Styela clava: one gene and its partners. The protein of the gene in region 1 purifies or fractionates together with the protein of each later gene. This does not show direct contact. Links are inferred from orthologs where the notes say so. Each region holds a gene or a part of one and is shown in the gene's direction. Other genes may lie near its edges. The genes, in order: E3 ubiquitin-protein ligase MARCHF5-like, mitofusin-2-like and dynamin-1-like protein.

The links.
Region 2: the proteins of E3 ubiquitin-protein ligase MARCHF5-like (region 1) and mitofusin-2-like purify together in Homo sapiens (affinity purification with mass spectrometry; 5 studies listed by BioGRID and IntAct, counting the BioPlex papers as one, with this or other methods). This does not show direct contact. The link is inferred for Styela clava from reciprocal best matches to the Homo sapiens genes MARCHF5 and MFN2.
Region 3: the proteins of E3 ubiquitin-protein ligase MARCHF5-like (region 1) and dynamin-1-like protein purify together in Homo sapiens (affinity purification with western blotting, with the first as the bait; 3 studies listed by BioGRID). This does not show direct contact. The link is inferred for Styela clava from reciprocal best matches to the Homo sapiens genes MARCHF5 and DNM1L.

What each region holds. Positions count from the first base shown.
Region 1 is NC_135256.1:15,199,973-15,207,386, reverse strand, and holds the start of E3 ubiquitin-protein ligase MARCHF5-like, read left to right. Parts: upstream 1-4,412; 5' UTR 4,413-4,453; coding exon 4,454-4,541; intron 4,542-4,599; exon of another isoform or gene 4,600-4,649; intron 4,650-6,688; coding exon 6,689-7,414. Other genes in the region: uncharacterized protein LOC120328307, read left to right, coding at 1,286-1,831; dynein light chain Tctex-type protein 2B-like, read right to left, coding at 2,618-2,665, 2,868-3,001, 3,722-3,855, 3,935-4,017. UniProt on the Homo sapiens protein: Mitochondrial E3 ubiquitin-protein ligase that plays a crucial role in the control of mitochondrial morphology by acting as a positive regulator of mitochondrial fission and as an important regulator of immune response.
Region 2 is NC_135255.1:2,491,086-2,498,610, reverse strand, and holds the start of mitofusin-2-like, read left to right. Parts: upstream 1-4,432; 5' UTR 4,433-4,604; coding exon 4,605-4,778; intron 4,779-5,005; coding exon 5,006-5,083; intron 5,084-5,306; coding exon 5,307-5,552; intron 5,553-5,653; coding exon 5,654-5,757; intron 5,758-5,999; coding exon 6,000-6,171; intron 6,172-7,157; coding exon 7,158-7,296; intron 7,297-7,525. UniProt on the Homo sapiens protein: Mitochondrial outer membrane GTPase that mediates mitochondrial clustering and fusion. Mitochondria are highly dynamic organelles, and their morphology is determined by the equilibrium between mitochondrial fusion and fission events.
Region 3 is NC_135258.1:11,927,134-11,934,718, reverse strand, and holds the start of dynamin-1-like protein, read left to right. Parts: upstream 1-4,550; 5' UTR 4,551-4,722; coding exon 4,723-4,824; intron 4,825-5,868; coding exon 5,869-6,025; intron 6,026-6,098; coding exon 6,099-6,370; intron 6,371-6,996; coding exon 6,997-7,134; intron 7,135-7,412; coding exon 7,413-7,545; intron 7,546-7,585. UniProt on the Homo sapiens protein: Functions in mitochondrial and peroxisomal division.

The sequences.
Region 1 (7,414 bases):
GAAATTAGTTGTATATGATGTAGTTTATTCTTGGCGGAATATTGATGCAACAACTCAAAAGTTGTCAGCTGATTAATTCCGCTGGTCTAATATTGCAAAAATATAATCAACCAAATCAGTTATGTGGATATTCTATATAATGTTGTAATATTCGATTACATATATATAATCCTCTTTTCGTGTATGACCCAACTTTGAACTTGCATACTCCGAAATAGTTTTTTCAGAAAGTGGCTGTGATTAGCATTATATTGAATCCTATCCATTTTTTTTTTTATTAAGTAAAGCGCAATTCTTTGTAACCTTCGAATTAATAGATAATTTTGAAACTCAAATTAGTATTCTATTCACAATATAGTAAGTGAAGTTTGAGTTCAAATATTCATCCCTCTACATCCCTGATTGTAAAATTTTTACTATATTTTGGCTAATTACCACAAATACATTAGGTCCACTTCCTATCAATAGCACTGCTATAGGTATTGGAACTATTCAAAAATTCAATATTGCTCGAAGTTGTTATTATATTTGATATATTCAATTACCTTTTGAGATTTTTGTTGTTTGATGAAAATGTTTTAAATGGGTACAACCGTTCCTCAGTACACCCCCTGTAGACACTAGAACTTAGATCTCTACAGACCCCGATTTGGTTTCAGAGTTCTATTTTTCATCCTTTGTTAATTAATGATATTAGTTATTTAGATATTTGATTACAAACCCCCTTCTTGTACTTTGAAAAATCCCTTTCAGTAGTCATTGAAATTGATCTTCATATTTACATTGTGTTTCAATTGTTTCTCATAAACCAAAGTTAATCCTATCTTCGTAAATCCAATATTTTAATTTTTTTCACTTATATTCCTTTTCATTTACCATAATAATTATCCAAATACGCTCATTGGGTATAACTACCACAATTTGTTCACCATATTAGTAATTCTCCAGACCCCTAGTAATTAATATGCATGGATCAATGATCATATGAGCGTGATAACTAACTTAAATCATTAGCCCCTTGTAATTGTGCTTTTTACAATTATTTAAGTGTATATTACTCTATAATTAGCTGTTACACACATAGTCATCCATTACCTGGGGGGAGCTGACTTGGATGACCGTATGGTCGTATCGCTCCCTCCAGTCTCTACCATAAACAGTGTTTATTTATTTGTATTTATGCTTTCATATTTATATTTGTTTTGGTCGACGAATCAATAAATCTCTCTCTCTCATGCAAACTTGTTTGCTCGGTGAATTTATTAATCGTTTTTTTTTCATCCAGATGCAAAACAAATTATTCAAAAAGATGGTAAAACCAAGTTTATCAAGTGAAGTTGTTGAACTCATCGCATTAGACTCTGAGGTGAGCAAATCGACTGGTGCTGAACTTGTTCGAGTGGATATCTTCAAAGATATTTCTCCTATTGATAAACAAGAATCAAATGGAAGTTTAGAGCTAAAAACTGTGGATGAAAGTACTGAAGTTTCACCAGAAGAAGTGAATGTGGTTTTACCGATATCTGAAAAAGCACAAATTGAAAGACTGCACACAATAGAACCACGAAATTATGAGAATTCCGCTGAAGTCGCAAGCGTTGATGTCAACGAAAAGACCAAAGATTCTTGTGAAGTCAGCACCCATGAATCTTGTGATGCTGGTATGTGTGATAGTAACAATTCAGAAGCTGAAAGCGAATCCCATTCAAATTGTACAAAAAGTTTCGAAGACAAAACCAAGACAAGTACAGATGTGGTAAAGACAAATGATTGCGGCTCTTCAAATCATCCAACAACAGCAGAAAATTCTACACCTGATCAAGGTAGTTAAAAATGTAACAGAATGTATCCAACTTTTTGGTGAGATTTTGTGAGGAGGTGGTCCATGTTGTCGGAGATTTAGCCTTTGTGAATGAATGTTCTGACTAACCTCTGTCATGTTCCTGCACATTTCTGTATATGATTTTGTGGTAATAATGGTGTCTTCTTTGTTCAAACCACTTTTCTTTATCATTGACAAACTGGATTCAATCCAGAGGCAATTCACAGAAAAGGGCCAATTTGTTTTTATTTTTCACTTCCTTTCAATTCAAATCATGTACTTTTCTTTCTATATGTTGCAATTGCTTCCTTTGCGTCTCTATTTCATACAACACACCCTTAATTTCTCTACATTAATATCTCTCGTTTTCTGATTTTTATAAAGTTTCAAATAAAACAAATGCTTTCAAAAGCCTCGTTTTTTATTTAGAAAATATATATTTATATAGACAGGAATCGATACACAAAGGGGGTTCTCTGTCATGACCAGGGGTCCTTGATTAACTGGATTTCTGTTTACTACACTTTTGAAGACAGTTTTTCATGGTGGAAACATATAAAGTGGACCTACCCACTTGGGTCTAAATACGCTCTTCAAAATATAGGCTGTAGGTCTGCGCTGTGAGCATAATTTTGGTGAACAAAGTGTTTGGATCTATATACGCATCATAACTTTCCTGCTTTGTATTTTCATCCTATTTAGCCAAAAGGTAAATAATCCCCAGGACTAGTCATGACAGAAAAGTGCACATAAAGGTAACTACGATGGGTCATAATATTGAATGAAAATTGTGTTTCAGTAGAAGAATATCCCGAATGCTGCGACGACACAAAACATGGATTTCTGGAAAACAACATGATTGTTTTAAAAATTGTAATACTTTTAAATAAATTTATTCTAATTGTCGTAACCAAAAAATTTGGACGTTTACTATGTGTGGTTCATATATTATTGAAACTGCACAATTTGAGTAAAAATGGTCACTCGTGCAAAACAACTAGTCTCACCAAAGACTAAACCAAAGATAATCAATTTCAGTACTTACATTCATAAATATATCTTGTGCGTAATTGTCTGTATCTGAATCCCAAAAACATCTGCATCCCATTTTAACTCCTTCACCTCGCTGTTCGCCAATAACAACTTGCACCACAAATTTGTATCTGTCATACCCCATTGCTGAATGGAAATATAAAGTGTTGAAAACTAAAAATTCTGCGACCATTCCATGAGATAGCAAGATTAATTGGTACGTCAACTATTAGAGATTTTCTTGCTATGGGATTAGAATATTTCAGAAAAACTTTGATATACTGGTTTGTTCGGACTTGTCACTTGTAGACACAGGTTCAAACCCCACTCATGTGTCAGATGGAAATGATAATAAATAAAAAGAAATAACATAAAATAAATCAAATTTTCTACTAAGCAAGGAAATAGGAATATAGCCATTCTATAGTTTAGTCATAACTGTACTTGTACGAAGCATCATCATTGGCCACAGCATCTCTGATTACCCTGTGAAGGTTATTTATGTGTGAGAGGATTGCTGTACTACTTGTCACTGTAGGGTGGTTCATGTACCACTTGTCAGTTACGACTTCCCCCACCATCAAGTCCATTCATCTGAAAAAAAATACCTGGATAACTAATCCCACTCTCGACATGGATTGGCAATCGGATGAGAAGCCGTGGTTTGCTATATGATTAAGCCATCTTATTGTCTTCCCTCTCCCCTGGGATAATTATGTAAATTCCATCCTATACCATAGTAATTTTATATAATGTTGAACGGTTCCTTCAGACAGTCAGAAAAAGGATGGGATAGGATTTAGTTACATACCGGTATTTATTCTGGGGAGAGGAAATCATTATCAAATATCCATATTATAGCATTACCTTTTAACTTGGCTTTTGTATTATTACCAATATTTTGTACCCATTCCGCTACTTGTTCTCCATCATAATCTTTACCATCAAGTTCTTCTTTAACAACTTCATGAATAATTTCTTTCACTTCAGCTGGTTTAAATCTTTGTAGCAAAAAGTAAAATAAATCAATCTCTCTTTACAAGAATTTAATGAGCTGCAAAGCCTTACTTCAATACTTACTTGTGTTGGAAATTCGGCCTGATTAGATACGTATTTTCATGTTGTTGCTGCTGGGGAGCCGTTTCTTCAACTTCAGCTGACATTGCGCAGTTGTTTGAGTTGCGGTACCAGACTATCGAAATTGTTCACCATCAATTAAACTAATTGTAGAATTTAATCAAATCTACTAAAAAACATTCAAATTTGTCAAATCTGATGAATCCAAAGGCCAAACACGACCGAAACCGAAGGACGCTTTGACACCCGTTTAAGCTATAGGCTAGCTGTATAAGGCCAATGACTGTCATTGATAAGGCCAACGTTTATTGTTGCTATCCAAAGCAAGCTTGCCTTGGCAATAAATCGTTTACTATTTTTAACTTATGTATGCTATACACGAAAACAAATTCTGGGTAATTTTATATTTATTTGAATAATTTTTAATTATTTTTAAATAAGACTATAACTTATTTTATACCTCATTTTGAGTTACTGTTAAATAATAAGTGATTTATCATTAACGAAAGACATACATATAAAATGCAGAGAGAGAGAAAGAATTATTATTTTGTCTTATCAGGAAACGAACATTGCAACGATGGAAAAATATACAAAATACGCCAAGTCTGTAAGTAGTGAGGGTTGGAAATCTAACGACTTTAATCTGTTACCGGTACCGGTACCGGTAATGGGGCAGATTTTTGTCCGAACATCTCAGTACTGTATACCTATCCAGGTAGCCTATCTATTCGCAAACTCTGAAACTGGCCTTAGCCCAGTAGCCCAGTGCAGTAGTCTACGGTTCTGCTTTTTCCTATCACAGTTTACCGGTACCCGTACCGTACTGGTTTGTGGTACCGGTGAACGTTGGAGTAAATTTTGGCTGGCTATGGTCAGATTGTAGCTGCAGTACGGTATACTGGTAGAATGGACTGACTGATATTATCTGATACTTCAGCATTTGAACTGATATTTAATATTTTGAAACCACTCATACCGGTATCTGCTTATGGCAGTATGGCTATGGGGTGGTGCAAAAAAAATATTTTGAAAGCAGCTGGAAGTTTGGACCAGTCTGCCAGTAGGTTACAAGCCTACAACTGCTGAACTGTCTGACTGTAAAAAGGCATGAATTAGGTGGTTCAGAAAAATGTTGGTGCTGCACTTTCGGCGCAAATTCATCAAACGCAGTGCCTTATTAAAATAATATGGCGAGTACCGGTACGGTACCTACAGTACCACTGTACCAGGTTATCGAACGAAATGTGCGATTATGCAAAGGACCAGTGCCAAGGGATCTGAATTAGAATTGGGAAACACTACCAAAATTCTGCGATTTATCTTACCTTTTAATAATTAATGAATCAACGATGATTGACGCAGAATGCAGCAGCTGGTTGTGAACATAGCTTGCAATTTTTGTAGAAGGCTACAATTGTGGTGTACGGATTTGCCAGGCATGGTAGCCTAGGGGCCTCGACATCCAATTTTGAACTGTTATTCATTTTAAGTCGTTTTTAAATTTTAAGGCTTTTACTGATTCAAAAATTTTTTTAAATTGACATTCATTGAATTTTTTATTTGGCTTAATGCTTGTCGCAAATATATTCTGTTTACAAAATTAACAATTAAATACGATCGAATGAATGGATTGTTCCAAATTTCCAACTTCACCCCTTCAACTAAACAAATATACTACTTCGAAATAAATGAACAGTTTTTTACCATAATAATTCCCTCTATTTATTGAAAAAGATGATACAAATCGATATATAGCTATACTCATTCATCTAAGCAATATTTAATCTAAGAATTATTTAATTATTTTATGATTTTCGGATAGTTTTTTAACAAAGACCCGTTTATTACGAATAACTTTTTTATTAGTAATATTTTATTTATAAGTAGGCCTACCTGGGGCCATGGCCCCTCCCTCACTTTTCCGCGACCGTAAATGGTTGTTATGAACCCTATCCAATGCCATGATTTTATTACAGCCTTGGGTTTTTGAAGAAGTTCTTAAATTTAACTTACTATCCAATCTATTCGGGTTATTAGCGAATGTATATTGCCTGTAAATAAAATTTCGTATAATTGATTCTGTGAAACGTTGTGACGTCATTGTTGAAGGGACATTACAAATGAAATAGGCCTAGCTTAGTGGCCTCTTGCTGTCTAAATACAGCCCTGCCTGTACCCCATAGTTCATAACATTTATTGAATAATCATAATATAGTGAATGCCATAACTACTTGAATAATGGCAAACAAAAATGTGATATGAAAATAGAGCCCATAGTTTTATTTTTTTTAAGTAACAGTCTGTCTTGTGGGTAGTATACTGGTATAGCAGGATGAATGCCTTAACTGCTTAAACGAGAATATCGGTCAGAGACCGAAGACTTATCGATTGAAGGTTAGGGGATGCCCCAAAACAGCGCTCTTACTCCATAGTGACACCATGTGTCCCATCACTAATTAATTAATAACTAGCTAATTATACGACATAATTCATCGAAAATCAATAGGCTTCTGATCCGAGCTATGATGATACACACGCAAAATTTGGAGCTGATTCAACCTCGCTTTTGTGAGATATCGCGGGCATCTAACAGAGAGACAGACAAACAAACAGACAAATACCTATCAACATACTTACCGATCTTAAGATCGGTAAGTAATAACGCTATTAGCCTTGAAAATTTGATTCTAATTCCCTAGCTTAGGGATCACCTATCTATTCATAGTCTAATGACCATATCTGCATAATTATCAGGTACATATATGATGGAGGAAGCTAATGATTCCTCAACTTCTGTTGGGACTGGCACAAGTGAGGATCCTCAAAGCTCAACATATAGAAGTTGTTGGGTATGTTTTGGAACAGATGACGATGAACATATGAAATGGGTGAAGCCTTGTCGTTGCAAAGGTACGACAATGTGGGTCCATCATGCTTGTTTGATGAGATGGATAGATGAAAAGCAGAAAGGCCATTCTTTTACTAAAGTAAAATGTCCACAATGCAACACTGAATATGTTGTTGTTTTTCCACCTTTTGGAAAATTGACGAGTTTTATTCAAACGATTGATCACATTGTGTTTAAAGCTTCACCCATTGCGGCAACCGGAGTTCTTCTTGGATCAATATATTGGAGTGCGGTCACTTATGGAGCAATCACAGTAATGCAAGTTTTGGGCCACAAAGAAGGGTTAGATATGATGGAGCGAGCAGATCCTTTATTTTTACTTGTCGGCCTTCCTATGATACCAGTCGGTCTTGTCCTTGGAAAAATGATACAATGGGACGATTATCTTTTGAGGTTATGGAAGAAACACTCTAGCAAGTTGGTTTACTTGAAAAAGCTGATTTTTGGGACACGCCCTTCACAAGAAGGAACTTCAACCATACTTCCTCCATCTCCAGTAGAAATGCGACAGACAAGAGAAATCAAGTTTACGAGAGTTCTTTGTGGAGCTTTGATCTTTCCAACCGTTGCAA
Region 2 (7,525 bases), on another chromosome or scaffold:
TTCTTTTTGATCACGTGCCATCGAACGTCGATGGTTCGTAACGAAGTCCTTACGGTACTTTGCTACGATTTTTTCCTTACGCTGTCTTACTACGTTACCAGTACTGTACCGTACAGTATTGCAATAATGTTGGTTTTCTTTTCTGCAGGGACGTTACCGTACCGCCTTAGCGAAAGTTGGAAGTCTTACTGTACTGCTTCGCTTGGTGTGAATATATTTTTAGACTTTATCTGACGGTACGGTAAACCGTACTGTACTGCGAACAGACGTGTTCATATATTTGGGTGTAGTTCTCTTGTTGTTATTATTTTCATTATTTGTCTCCATCATTTTTAAAAAAATCGCTTTTCTCTTCGAATACTGGACCAATGGCTTTGAAATTTGCAGTGGTTGAAGATAAAATTTTTCCCCAGAAGGCTATTACTTTTATTCATTTTAAATACTTCTGTTAGCTCTGTGAGCTTTGTTTTTGTTTGCTATGACGTCATTAAACGTTCTGCAGACATCGGACGCCATTTTGTGTCCTACTGTACTGCTTCGCTTGGTGTGAATATATTTTAGACTGTGATCTGACGGTACGGTAAGCCGTACTGTACTGCGAACAGACGTGTCCATATATTTGGGCGTAGCTCTCTTGTAATTTAATTTCAATAATAAAAAATTTGTGTAAAAATAGCTGTGATAGGCTAGGCTAAAATTCTTTGTAGTGATATTGCATATTTTATGTTGATTTGATTCAGTGCCTGAGTTCATGACCTTTCATGTAGTTTTTTTTTTATCTTTCTTTGGCCTACCCCTAGTGTATACAATGTATTTTGTTTTTTTGGTTCATGAAGGATACGATAGGATTTACATATTTATCCCGGGGGAGAGGAAAGCCGATAAGACGGCTTATCCATATGGCGAACCACGGCCTCTCGTCCGGTTACCATTCCAAGTCGGGTATGGGATTAGTTATAAGTAAACACAGTACTCTGAAATATCGAGTTTATTCTGGATAATATTCTACACTCCGGTATAGAAATCAAGGGTAGAAAAATTATTACATTCTTTACCGGTACTTTTAAAAAACATGTTGTTGTATGCGATGATTCATATTGATGGTTTGAAGCACACACCGGTACTTCATTTTACATGCGCCAACTCGCAAAAGCACTCTTAAAATAGTCCCGAAAATTTTACAATAGTAAAGCAATGACATTAAACAACATGATAGGCAACTCTGACGTCACTCCATAAGACTACAGGCGAAAGATTGTATTTCATGATACGCTCCAATGCACATATTTCTCGTCGACTTTCGCGTCCGTTTTCCGCTCGCTTTTGCTACTCGGCGTCTTTTTTACGTGTAGTACCTGTCTTTTTGCGTCTGTAACGAAACAAAATAATCTCTATATCTAAGAAGTTTTGCTCACTTGGAAAGCTGGAATGGCAGGCAAGCTGTAAAGAGCAATTCTGGACATCATAGACGTTTTTTTTTATCAGAGAAGATTACAAACGCGATAGCGGAAAGATTTGTGTGGAACATTTTGCAGATAATGACACAAAGTTCAAAGTTAGTAATTTTAATGTTTGCGCTTAATCATTGAAGTTTCATTTAAAGAGGGTGTCATACAAAACTGTGCTGTGATACAATTCCATAACACAAAGTTTGCACCTATCGAACTTGCTTTTGTAGGTGAATTTATTAGACATATTACATATTCAGTTAATCGTAGGTAACATTGCTGGTACATAATGCATCGTAGATAGGTTTGTTTAAATTTAGGAATTTAGCTCATAGCCCACTAATTAATATTATTTTCTATGCGGTAGGTTGCAGGGCTGAATTCAACTTGCAGCCTTACCGACCACCTGACGATGCTCATTTAGTTTGGCTCGAGCAAGTCTTCTTGAAATGCTTGTGTGGATGGAAACTACCTATATTATTTGCCTTCCTCCGATTTTAGACAAATTTATTATGAGTGATTTTGCATATAATTCTCATTGATGGTTGGCTGTTTATAATTCCTATTGATTGTGAATTCTGATTATACCAAAGAGTTAAAAATTTTTTTATCTAATTTACTGGTACCTTTTCTTGTCAATACTCCAAGTTGAGGTAATAAACAAGACAATACATTTATGTCATCTGGAAGCAAAATATGCACACTAATTAATAGTTTGGCACATTGAGATAATACATCATGACAGAAAATACAAGTTAAAGATAGGTATGACCATCACATGGTAATTAAAATTAAAAAAAATTAATAGGGGCTGTGGAGTATGAAAAGTTCAAGACAAAGAAAAGAACAAATGTTCATAGCTCATGAACTCTCAATTTTGCCTCCATTGCTTTGTGAAGGCCAATATATTTCGAGTGGCTGAATTGGTTTGCTAGCAACGATTTTGTATTTAATATAGCGAGATGATTTTATAGTACCAACTCTAACTAACGAGGCCACATGATCATGGGTTAATCTGGATCTTTGCGAATGTTTAATTAATTCCAGTAATGCAAAAAAGTTACTTTTATCATTTCATGTATAGATCAGTAAAAAAACAAATGACAGATTTTTTCGACAAGACATTTCGCACCACATTGCGTGGCATAGGATTGCTTGAATTATTATTGATATTGATTTTTAGTAACTAAGTCGTTGTATAAATATATTAATATACAAACACATGGAAATTTTCTGTTCGAAGTTGGTCTTCGAATTTGTCATATTGACTGCTGAGCTTATTGTGTTTTTTCATTTTATTGATGGAAATATGACAAATTAAACAATGTGCTTCAGAATTTTGCGAAAAGCAGAAAAGTTACAACTCCCATTTTCTTCGAAAATGCCACCTTCTTCATGTACTTTGCGTTTAATTTGATCACTCAAGTGTTTATTCAAGTATTCTTTTGCAAGCTTGATGTGTATTCTTAATTGGGTCAAAATGTGGACAAAAAAAAATCATATTCCAAAACTACTTTCAGTAAATTGTTTTCTGTGTGAATAATCAATTTCACTTTAAAAGGTTTGAAAAATCTATTACATTTAGATAAAAAAAAAAATACTATTACAATTATTGTTAAGCGTTCGAGGGCCGCACTCGAAGTTCTCTGGGGCCGCGAGTTTGAGATCTCTGGTCTAGATTGAAGTTGTCCAAAAATATATATGATAGTATTTTATCATGAATGATGATTATACCCCTTCCGGAATTTCTTCTATCGTACTACCAAAAGTTGATGAACCAAATATAACACAGGTGCAGTGAGTTACCCGTAATCCTCATTTTCCAAAGCTGTTTTAAGTGTCTGGCGTGTTTTGTGCCTTTTTACAAATAAGACCGAGTATGTAATTTTACGCTTTGCAATTTTTAGTTATTTTCCTCAAGCCCTGCAGGATGTAGGGGTCATACACAACTTTACCGGAGGGTCAAGTGTCTTTGCATGTCACTGATATGTCGCCAGACTTCTGATATCTCCCCTTCTGCTATAGTTGTCCTGTGAATAAATAATAGGAAATTGTGATTAGACGAATAGTTGAAAGTTTTGCTTTATGTCGGCTTAATTTCTTGATTGATATACTTACTATTTCTGCTATTGCCTCTTGTGCTGCAGGAGTCTCACAATGCTTAGACAGGTTTGTCCACAACTTTCACATCTGAAGAAAGAGAGGAGATTTATTAATTTTCGTTAAGAATAAATAAAGCAGTCTATATGATTTAGAATGGAAAAGCTAATGAATCCAATATCTCATGTTTTATGTAAAAAATATTTTACTGAATTTGGTCAATAAAACAAACTAATAAAAGGGTTTAGTCAGAAAATTACAAGCATTCGTGGCTCCAAATATTTGAGAGATCAGACTATACAATATAGACCGGTATGAGTGAAATGTTAGGTGGACTTGTTAACACTTTGATTCAATACGCAAATAAAAGTGAATGCGCAATAGTATGTTACAATGAGCAGCAATCAACAATGAGTATATATCCTCACTGATTAAAAAAATCAAACTGGAGGTGCATGAACTATTTGAAACCATAAGGGGTAAGTAAATATGTAATTTCGGCAAATGGGCAACCACGTACCGTACTGAATTAATAACTTCGTAGTATTTGACAAAGGCTGACTTTCCCACATGTACTTAACAGTGCGATGCCCGGGTGTGATATACAACAATAGTATTTACCTTACCTTTTTCCGATTTCTTTTTACCTTAACTTTCCAAAATATCATTAAAATCGACAACAACTGTCAAAGCAGGCACGAACACCATTCGTGCTACGCCTTGAAAGCAGCACACATCCGCTCGTTTTCGTCTCGTCAAGTATGTGCATTGGAGCGTGCTATCGAATACGATCTTCGGACAAAAATGCCGGAGTTGCGCATCATGTTGTTTAATGTCATTGAGTAAAGTATAGGAAGATTTTTTCGGGGTCAAAGGTCGGGGAATAGGACTCTTGAAATACTCAGATTAACCAAAACAGCATTAGCATGCTTCAGCTTTCATGGATTTCATAGCCGCTTGTGTTTTGTGACTGTTTTAGCCTATATATCTGTATATAGGCCATTGTTGTAGCATTTAAATTTGAAATCACCAAAATCAGTTGCTTATTGAGGCATTATGTTGAAGTCTGGGTTTGGCGGCGGAGGTGATGCGTCTTCACCATTAAAATTATTCACTAATGCCAAGAAGAAAATAAATGGGATTTATCGAGACATAGGAAATTATGTCAGTGAATTCCATACTTTTGTAGAAGAAATTAAGGATGTTGAAGAGAATGAACTTGTGCATCAGGTAAGTTTTCCAACTGGTTCTTATATTGAGTACATACCGGTACAGACATAGGTTTAGTTAACTCAGTTTACGATCATCTCAGTCCTTTGAAATATCCCCACCAAGAGCATAGAGACGAACACTGAACATGGTTTGAAGTATATTACCCTGACTGCATTCCTAGATGCATCTCATTAGCCCTCTTACAATCTTATTGCTTTTAATTTAGTTTTTGCGATTTTTCACAGGAATTGGTAGATCATATTCAAACATGCGCTCAAAAAGTAAATGGAATAAAAGAGATGTTACTCCGAGATCATATGAAGGTATTTATTCAAGGATAAATTATGTGATTTGTCTAACATTATCTATTCTCATGAAGCTGTGAAATGAAACAACAAGATATTATACATATTCATACTCTTGTATGTCATATCATAACTTCAATTATAAGTCAATTACTGTTCTCATTCCAAGCATGGTTGCTAATTTTTGTGTAAAAGGTAAAAGCCTGACTTTTTTGTATATTTTATTTAAATATAATTATAGGTGGTTTTCTTCGGAAGAACTAGCAATGGAAAAAGCACTGTAATAAATGCTATGCTGTGGGATAAAATATTGCCGAGTGGACTTGGTCATACGACCAATTGCTTCTTATCAATAGAAGGATGTGATGACAAAGATGGACCATATTTACTTTGTGATGGATCAGAGGAGAAGCGTAATGTTAAAAGCGTATCACAATTAGGACATGCACTCAGTCAGGAAAGCATGTCTAATGACAGTTTGATTAAGGTTTGTTTATGATTTATGAAATTAAATATTTCTGTTTTTATCAAACGTCCTTCTAATGTTATACTTCCTACTATATCGCTGTTATTTATTTCATATTCCAGGTATGCTGGCCCAAAAATAAATGTTCGTTATTGAAAAATGAAGTTGTTTTGGTTGACAGTCCTGGTATTGACGTAACTGAAGATATGGATAGTTGGATCGATGCGTAAGCAATTTTTCCATTGTATTGTGTACTAAACATTAATTAATTAAACACAATCTGTAAACTTGTGAATTAGTTATTATCCAAAGACACAGTATCTTTACTCATCTTTTCTATTTTTTTCCTGATGACTCTTCTACAACAAATGCAATGCAATTCATTTTACAGTTGTAAATGTTATGTAGTCAGTGATATTGATACTTTTTTTAATGTCTGAAATGTCCTACTTAACATTTTTCTTATAGTTACTGCCTTGATGCAGATGTTTTCATTCTTGTTGCAAATGCTGAATCAACTTTGATGTTGGCTGAGAAAAAATTCTTTCATAAAGTAAACGAACGTCTATCGAAGCCTAATATATTTATACTCAACAATAGATGGGATGCATCAGCTGCTGAACCTGACCTTATGGAACAGGTAGGACTTGATCGAAGTTATATTAGTTTTCCATCTTGTTTACGGTTCAGGTAACATTTGATATGTTCAAAATTATCTATAATTTGAGCTTCTATTTTGAGCTGAGCAATTCGGAATGTCTGTAAATATGTCAAACACCTAATTCATCAGAGTAAATGTAGTATTCACTATTTCATTCATAACCTCATATTTGTGATCTAGTGATTTGTGTAGTTGCAAAAGGTTAAAAATCTCAGATTCAACCTCCATCACTGATACCTCACCAAGGATTTATTAAATTAGGTAGGCAAGACCAACTGAAAAGATTCTAGCCCCAAAAGTAGTAGCTACTTATTTTTTATCATCTAATTCTTTCTAAAGCCTTTTTTGAGGTGAAGGTGTGAAAACAGCAAAATAGTTAGTAGCCTATATTTGTAAGTGTGTACATAATTATCATGTGTAACAAGCTTTCTGCTCTATGGGTGACAAAATGCTAATTTAACACTTTTTTCCACGGCCATAGGGATTCAAAAACCCAGGAGTGATATGAATTGTTTTGAAAAGCATAGATTTTAAATAAATTCTGTCTATGATTTATTCCATCTTATGAATGCTTGGAAAACTGATTTGAAAAAGATTCTCCACCTTGCCCTACCTGACCAGAAATGATATGTTGAATATTTATTAAAAACATGATGACAACTATTCTGTTTATATAAGTCATATTTTACCTCACTTCTGAACAATTCTCTGTACTAGCAGTCACTTATGCAAAAGTATATTGCTTTTTGAAAGGACAGGGGTCTTTCTTGTTTGTCTTTGCCTACACCCAATTTGAAGCAGTGCATAACCTGTAATGACAATATTGTTTAATCTGATGCTCTAACCATGGGCAATTACACTTCCCTAATATGGACAAAAAATGTCATAGGAATTGATAGGCGTAAAATTTGAAATCAGCAATTTAGAAAGATGTTAATTCTGAAGTTTGTATGCAATTTATATAGGTGAGACAACAACATCTGGAACGTGGAATATCATTTTTGGCAAAAGAACTAGGTGTTGTTACCCCACAGCAAGCTAAAGATAGAGTTTTCTTTATTTCTGCAAAAGAAGCCCTTAATGCTAGATTGCAACGCTTACAAGGTTTTTAATTTTTTCTATGTAATATAGGATGATGTTTAAATGAATCATACATGATATGTCAGAATTGAGCATAATTTCATTTAATAAAGCATAGCTATGTATGTCTGATGATTCTGTTAAAATTTGATGCTGTAATTTTATTAGACCCACTATAATGAGATTTTCATTGCAGGGTCCCATCGAAATCATTAAAATGTTTCAAGTAAATTTGCCAATAAACAATCTGGCA
Region 3 (7,585 bases), on another chromosome or scaffold:
ATTTTTCAAACCTTCTAAAGTGAAATTGATTATTCACACAGAAAACAATTTACTGAAAGTAGTTTAGGAATATTAATTTTATTGTCCACATTTTGACCCAATTAAGAATACACATCAAGCTAGCAAAAGAATACTTGAATAAAACACTTGAGTAATTAAATTAAACGCAAAGTACATGAAGAAGGTGGCATTTTCGAAGAAAATGGGAGTTGTAACATTTCCGCTCTTCACAAAATTCTGAAGCACATTGTTTAATTTGTCATATTTCCGTCAATACAATCAAAAAACACAATAAGCTCAGCAGTCAATATGACAAATTCGAAGACCAACTTCGAACAGAAAATTTCCATGTGTTTGTATATTAATATAATTATACAACGACTTAGTTACTAAAAATCAATATCAATAATAATTCAAGCAATCCTATGCCACGCAATGTAGTGCGAAATGTCTTGTCGAAAAAATCTGTCATTTGTTTTTTTACTGATCTATACATGAAATGATAAAAGTAACTTTTCTGCATTACTGGAATTAATTGAACATTCGTAAAGATCCAGATAAAGCCATGATCATGTGGCCTCGTTAGTTAGAGTTGGTACTATAAAATCATTTCAGACTGGCCTTAGTATGCTGGTGACACAAAAAAGATGCCAAACGCCAGGACAAATGTAATTATTAAAACATTGAGTTTATACTGTAGTATTTTTGTTAATTTTAGGTTCATATATTTAAATTAAGTTATTTTTAGTGTATGTATTATTCTTTCCCTATTCAAAGCTTGTTCAAAAATGATTTTGATGGTTGTACATAGAATTTTACGATTTTTTATAATAAATACTGTAACTTGCAAATGTTGCAATAATAGTGGAATGCAAAGATTAATATGTAATTGCATTTGAAATTGAAGAAAATAATAAAACTTAATATAACTGTTTAGTTGCATCACAATATATGTCACAAACTAAAACTATCTTAAAAATATCTTTTAAGTATACATTATCAAAAACTGTTTGCGGCTCTTTTTACAATTTTCAAAATGCAATGCGGCTCTCGAAAACCCATGAGTTTGACACCACTGATCTATTCTAGACGATTCAAGCATTGCTTTGGGAAATTATATCACTTCAATTAAATTGAAATAATCTCGCTATATAAAATACAAAATCGTTGCTATCGTAAAGGTAAACCAATTCAGCCACTCGAAATATATTGGCCTTCACAAAGCAATGGAGGCAAAATTGAGAGTTCATGAGCTATGAACATTTGTTCTTTTCTTCGTCTTGAACTTTCCATACTCCGCAGCCCCTATTAATTTTTTTTTAATTTTAATTACCATGTGATGGTCATACATATCTTTAACTTGTATTTTCTGTCATGATGTATTATCTCAATGTGCCAAACTATTAATTAGTGTGCATATTTTGCTTCCAGATGACATAAATGTATTGTCATGTTTATTACCTCAGCTTGGAGTATTGACAAGAAAAAGGTGCCAGTAAATTAGGTAAAAAAATTTTCAACTCATTGTTATAATCAGAATTCACAATCAATAGAAATTATAAACAGCCAACAATCAGTGAGAATTATATGCGAAATCCCTCAGAGTAAATTTGTCTAAAATCGGAGGAAGGCAAAAAATATAGGTAGTTTCCATCCACACAAGCATTTCAAGAAGACTTGCTCGAGCCAAACTAAATGAGCATCGTCAGGTGATCGGTAAGGCTGCAAGTTGAATTCAGCCCTGCAACCTCCTGCATAGAAGATAATATTAATTAGTGGGCTATGAGCTAAATTCCTAAATTTAAACAAACCTATCTACGATGCATTATGTACCAGCAATGTTACCTACGATTAACTGAATATGTAATATGTCTAATAAATTCACCTACAAAAGCAAGTTCGATAGGTGCAAACTTTGTGTTATGGAATTGTATCGCAGCACAGTTTTGTATGACACCCTCTTTAAATGAAATTTCAATGATTAAGCGCAAACATTAAAATTACCAACTTTGAACTTTGTCATTATCTGCAAAATGTTCCACACAAATCTTTCCGCTATCGCGTTTGTAATCTTCTCTGATAAAAAAACGTCTATGATGTCCAGAATTGCTCTTTACAGCTTGCCTGTTACTCCAGCTTTCCAAGTAAGCAAAACTTCTTAGATATAGAGATTATTTTGTTTCGTTACAGGCGCAAAAAGGCAGGTACTACACGTAAAAACGACGCCGAGTAGCAAAAGCGAGCGAGAAAACGGACGCGAAAGGCGACGAGAAATATGTGCATTGGAGCGTATCATGAAATACAATGTTTTGCCTGTAGTCTTATGGAGTGACGTCAGAGTTGCCTATCATGTTGTTTAATGTCATTGAGTGGACTTATGACTCGTTGCGCTAAATTCTTCATATTGATGTTGTAGTGAAAAAAAATCGTTTTCTATGCAAATAATATTCTGATAAATTTCGGAACTTCAGTAGGCTACCAAATCAGGTATTTCGCCCAAAATTTTGCTATTTCCATCCACATGGAAAGACTTTGTTATAAAATGTTGTTTCCTTTCTTGTGCCACACTTGCCCGTCGATATTTTCTGAGGAACCATGACCACCATCTTTGAAAAAAAAAATTTTCAATTTTTTTTAATACAATTTTGCGGAATTTGCAGCTATTTGCGATTGTTCGCAGGCGGAAATTAATGCGGCCCACACGCTACCGCAAATGTGTATATTTGCCCCGCAGGTACATAATGTTTGCCGACCACTGCTCTATGCCAATCATGCGCCATCCCATCTTAACGTCAGACAGCTTTTCAAAAAACAGAAAGTGAGGAAAATTATCTGAACAAACTGAATTTTGCCAAGCTGCCCAACGAACAAGACGTAGTCTGACCAAAATTACAGAAATGTATTCTGAATGTTAACTGCTTTTGTATGTTTATTCGGTGTCCAGCTTTATTACCCTCGCGAAATTTTATAAAGATGTGGTAATTGTACTTTTTGCATACTTGAAAAAGATTGAAAAGGTACCGATTCACTTACCTTGGCTTTACCTTACCTTTTTATTTAAATGTGGTATGTTTTATTACCTCAAGTCCAGTTTTTGTTAGCGTAATCATTACGTCATTGTTGTGTAATTACACACTGAAATATTGAACAGTTAGTTCATCGTCATCGAAATGTTTTAAACCTGCGACTGATCTTGATAAAACACCTAACTTCTAGAACGATATTTATGTAGCTAAGATTTTGAGCCTAAAAAATCAGACCATTCCAGCATTTTGACTGTTGGAATTTATATGGACAGACAATAGTTATCTAAAAACGAATCTAGAGTTAAAACTTAGTCGTGTTTTGAAAGTCCGAGTGCTTCGCCGTTCCCCCCGATAAACATAAAAGCTAATTCAACGTTCGGGAGAGCACAGTTTTTCTCTGCTCCGAATTTTTGACAACCCCATAAACTAATATATACTAATTGCTGAGTAACACAATAAATGTATACACAAAAATGGAATTGGTCCGAACACAAATGCTGCAGAAAACTACGGTTGACCGTGTTTTTATAGCGTCTTTCAGAGTGGGGGCAGGATCAGTCGATAAATTTAAACGAGAGTCTAAAGTAAAAAGAGAAGATATACAGTTCATAAAATATCGAAATCGTAAAACTGCAAATTAAAACACAAAAAATGGCCAACGATTTTCCTGCTACCAAAAAATTTGGTTTGGTTAATTTTTCTCAGCGTAGCGTAGTCAAAATGACTTCCACGCTAAAAATTCTTTCTCCGATAAAATGCATAACGGCAAGTAAATGCAAAGTTATTTTGATGTAAAAGATAGATTTTCTATATTCTTGCATTTTAATATATATGGGAATTCAAAGTTTCCAAATAGATTTAAAGAAATGGGTAAACGAAAGTGTCATTGTACAACTCATATGCATTTTCTAAATATTTTGACTTGAGAAAATACCAAGAGTGCAAAAACATGATCTATATTAACATTTGTTTACATTTTATTGCGCCTCTTAATCATAATTGAAGTTTTAAATTGAGCCATGAAACAAGTTTGACAATCCCATCAATATACAAACCGGTCATGTTATAAAGTATTGCAGATTGAACAACATACATGTGATCATTTAGAATTAGTCCTTTCTGGGCAGAAGTTTCACTAGTGCAACATCCGGTAAATCACCCCAGGAAATCGGAGTGTCGAAAATTTTTAATAATTCATCATATATGACCTAAAAGTATTGCTTTCACCAAATATCAGATTTTTCCCACTGCCAAAAGATAAAGGGGCCCGGAGAGGGTTAAACACGAAGTATTCTCCATTTTTACTATGTTTGTGAATTTTTCTTTTTTCATTGCCAATATTATTTCATTCTCTTTTATAACTGACGAAGAATATAAAAAATACTATTTGAATTTTGGCCTTCTTTTACCAATTTAACATTTTCTTGTATAAAATCGGCCAGCAAGCAAAACTCCGACAAGTGCTGAAATCTCGCCCGTATGCTAAAGAACTACTAGCGCCACCACACGTCAGAAAAGCACAATAGTTTTTAAACCTGTAACCACAGAAGGTCCTCTTTGTTGGAATTTATAGATTTGGCTATGCAGTGCTGATACACGTAATAGTGTAATACTGTTATAGCTGTACATATAGTGTGCGTCTAAGAGCTTGTCTCTAGCAGTTTGAGAAATTTGACGGGAAGTAAAGCACTGAAGAATGGAAGCGTTAATTCCAGTTATCAACAAACTTCAAGATATTTTTAACACCATTGGCTCAGATTCAATACAATTGCCTCAAATAGTTGTGGTTGGATCCCAGGTAACTTGAATGATTTTTTATGAACGAGTCGGAATTGCACTTCATTCAGTCATTAGATAACCGGACCAAAAAATAGCATTTCACATGTTTACCGGTCATAGCCTACCTCCCAGGTCAGGCTTGGGCAAGTTCTGAAGTTGCTGCCCAAGTGATTTAGTAACGATGTACCTGTGTACCAGCTGCTTTCTGCAGTCAACTTTGTGAAAATGGTCAGCTCTTTTTCCAGATGATCACTGATCAATAGAGTTTTTGAAGCATGAATTTTTCTTGTATAATCTTGATAAGTTGCTCTTTGAATCTGTGAGTCGTGTGCTAACACAGCGGGATATCGTTAAACTAGTCAGCTCTTTGCTTTCCAGTATTTTGAATATAGTGAAAACGTTTGCCATTGAACCTCATATTGAAAAACTTGTAAAAACGCAGCAAAGAATACACTCATTTCATTAAAAGTAACATTTGTAATATGTCTTGTTTTATTTGAATGTGTAATAAAATACATTGAAGCGTGCAATGTAGGTTGGCTTCACTTAGTCTGGCACATTACCACATTTTGAATTTGCAATGTGACCCCATGGCAAAAATAATTGCCCATCGTTACCCCAAATGCATGCCAAACGTTAGCAGGTAAGTGATTCATATGCGAACTAAAATAATGCATATGGTTCGAAAGTCCTCTTGAATCTCTGAGTACTTTGTTGGGAAGCCCAAGTAATTGACTCGACCTGAGTCACTCTTTATCAAAGCCTCAAAGTGACTCAAGTCATCAAAATTAAATATCTCATACTCAACCAACTGTCACTGAGACTCGATACAGTGATTGAATAGACGAATAGACTTGGTACTCGGGTGACTCAAGACTCAAGTTGAGGGTCTTTTACCCAGCATTTGTTTACCCACCATTTTTAATAATGCAAAATTGGCATCGCACTTGTAAGCTTACCATTTGAACAGAATGTCATCTATGATTGTTTTGAAAGTGTCATATATCTTAGTGCCCAAAATGGATTAAATTATTCATCATCAATATTGTGTAACACATTTCAGAGTAGTGGAAAGAGTTCAGTTCTTGAGAATCTGGTTGGTCGAGATTTTTTACCAAGAGGAACTGGTATAGTTACAAGAAGACCTCTCGTGTTACAACTCGTGCACTTAGATAATGGAAAAAATAAAACGGAAGAAAATGATGACAATTCAGAAGAAGGTAAATAAAACAGTAAATCAGGTTCTGGTTTTCTACCAATCCTTCCTCCAAATGAGCCATATTTTAATTTTAGATTCTGATAAAGAAAATGAAAAACCAGGTTTGGAAAACCATGTAAATGGCTCATCTTCAAAGTTCAACCATGGCCATGAAGAGTGGGGAAAATTTTTGCATACAAAAGACAAAATGTATACAGACTTTGATGAAATTCGAACGGAAATCGAAAACGAAACTGAACGGATGGGTGGAACAAATAAAGCTATTTGCAGTGATCCAATTAATTTGAAAATTTTCAGTCCTCGTGTTCTGAATTTAACTCTGGTCGATCTCCCGGGAATCACGAAGGTTTTTTTTTTATTTTCTGTTAAAGATACATAAAAAACTCTAAAACATTGTTTTTTTGCTGAAAGATTCTGTATTTTTAGATGTTAAATACAAATATCAAGTAACAAGGAAAATTTAATTATGTATCAAATTTGTTGTTCAAGTAATACTAGTAGTTTAGTAGTTTCTAGTTTCATTAATCGAATGCAAATGTTTCAAAAATTGGTATCCAATACAAATGAAAAAATATGATAAATTCTTAATTTTAGGAGCAGCTTATACTATTTAGAAATTGTATTTTGAAAATTTTCTCTCAATGCTTTTGACACTGAAATCAGACAGAAAATTGAATTTTAAAATCATAATTTGTTCCCACAAAAGTTGATATTTTTTGAAAACTATAGGAGACAGGGTTCATTTATGGGCCAAGCTAGAAAAAATTGGATTGTAAAAGAAATAGCTCCATTATGCAAATCCCATTCGATCATTAAACATTGTATCAACGTAACCAATCATTGTAAACCTAATAAGTAACATTTATTGGTAATTTTGTATTTCATTAATCAATTTTGGTTTGGTAGTAATATACCGTAAGTTAATTTTGATACACATATTCAATGCATAATCATCTCTACTTCCTGTATCAGATTCCAGTTGGTGACCAACCTGAAGACATTGAAGCACAAGTGAGAGAATTGATATTACAATACATTTCAAATCCAAATTCAATAATTCTTGCTGTTTCTCCAGCAAACACGGATATAGCAACTTCAGAAGCCATAAAGGTATGTTTCAACAAATTTACCAGCAGTGATGTGAAATATGGGAAAATTTACACCCGAATCCATCTTTATCCTATATGAAGAAACGACTTCAGCTCCAGATTAAAGGAAATTTTTACTCGGACTCTTCAATTTCGGTCATACAGTAGCTACGGTACTCACATATCAGGATCTGCTGGCACAGAGCCATGTTTAGAGTGAAAAAACCTTGTATAGAAATAAGAAACTTCTACCTAGTTTGCCATGTATACTCATTACAATTTTGATATTATCGAATCTAGATGGCTCTTGAAGTTGATCCAGCAGGAAGAAGAACTCTTGCAGTTGTCACAAAACTAGATATAATGGATGCTGGTACTGATGCTATTGATGTTCTATGTGGAAGGGTCATCCCTGTCAAATTAGGAATTATAGGCAAGTGCAAAGCATGAGTATTTAGCTTAAAGATGGAAAA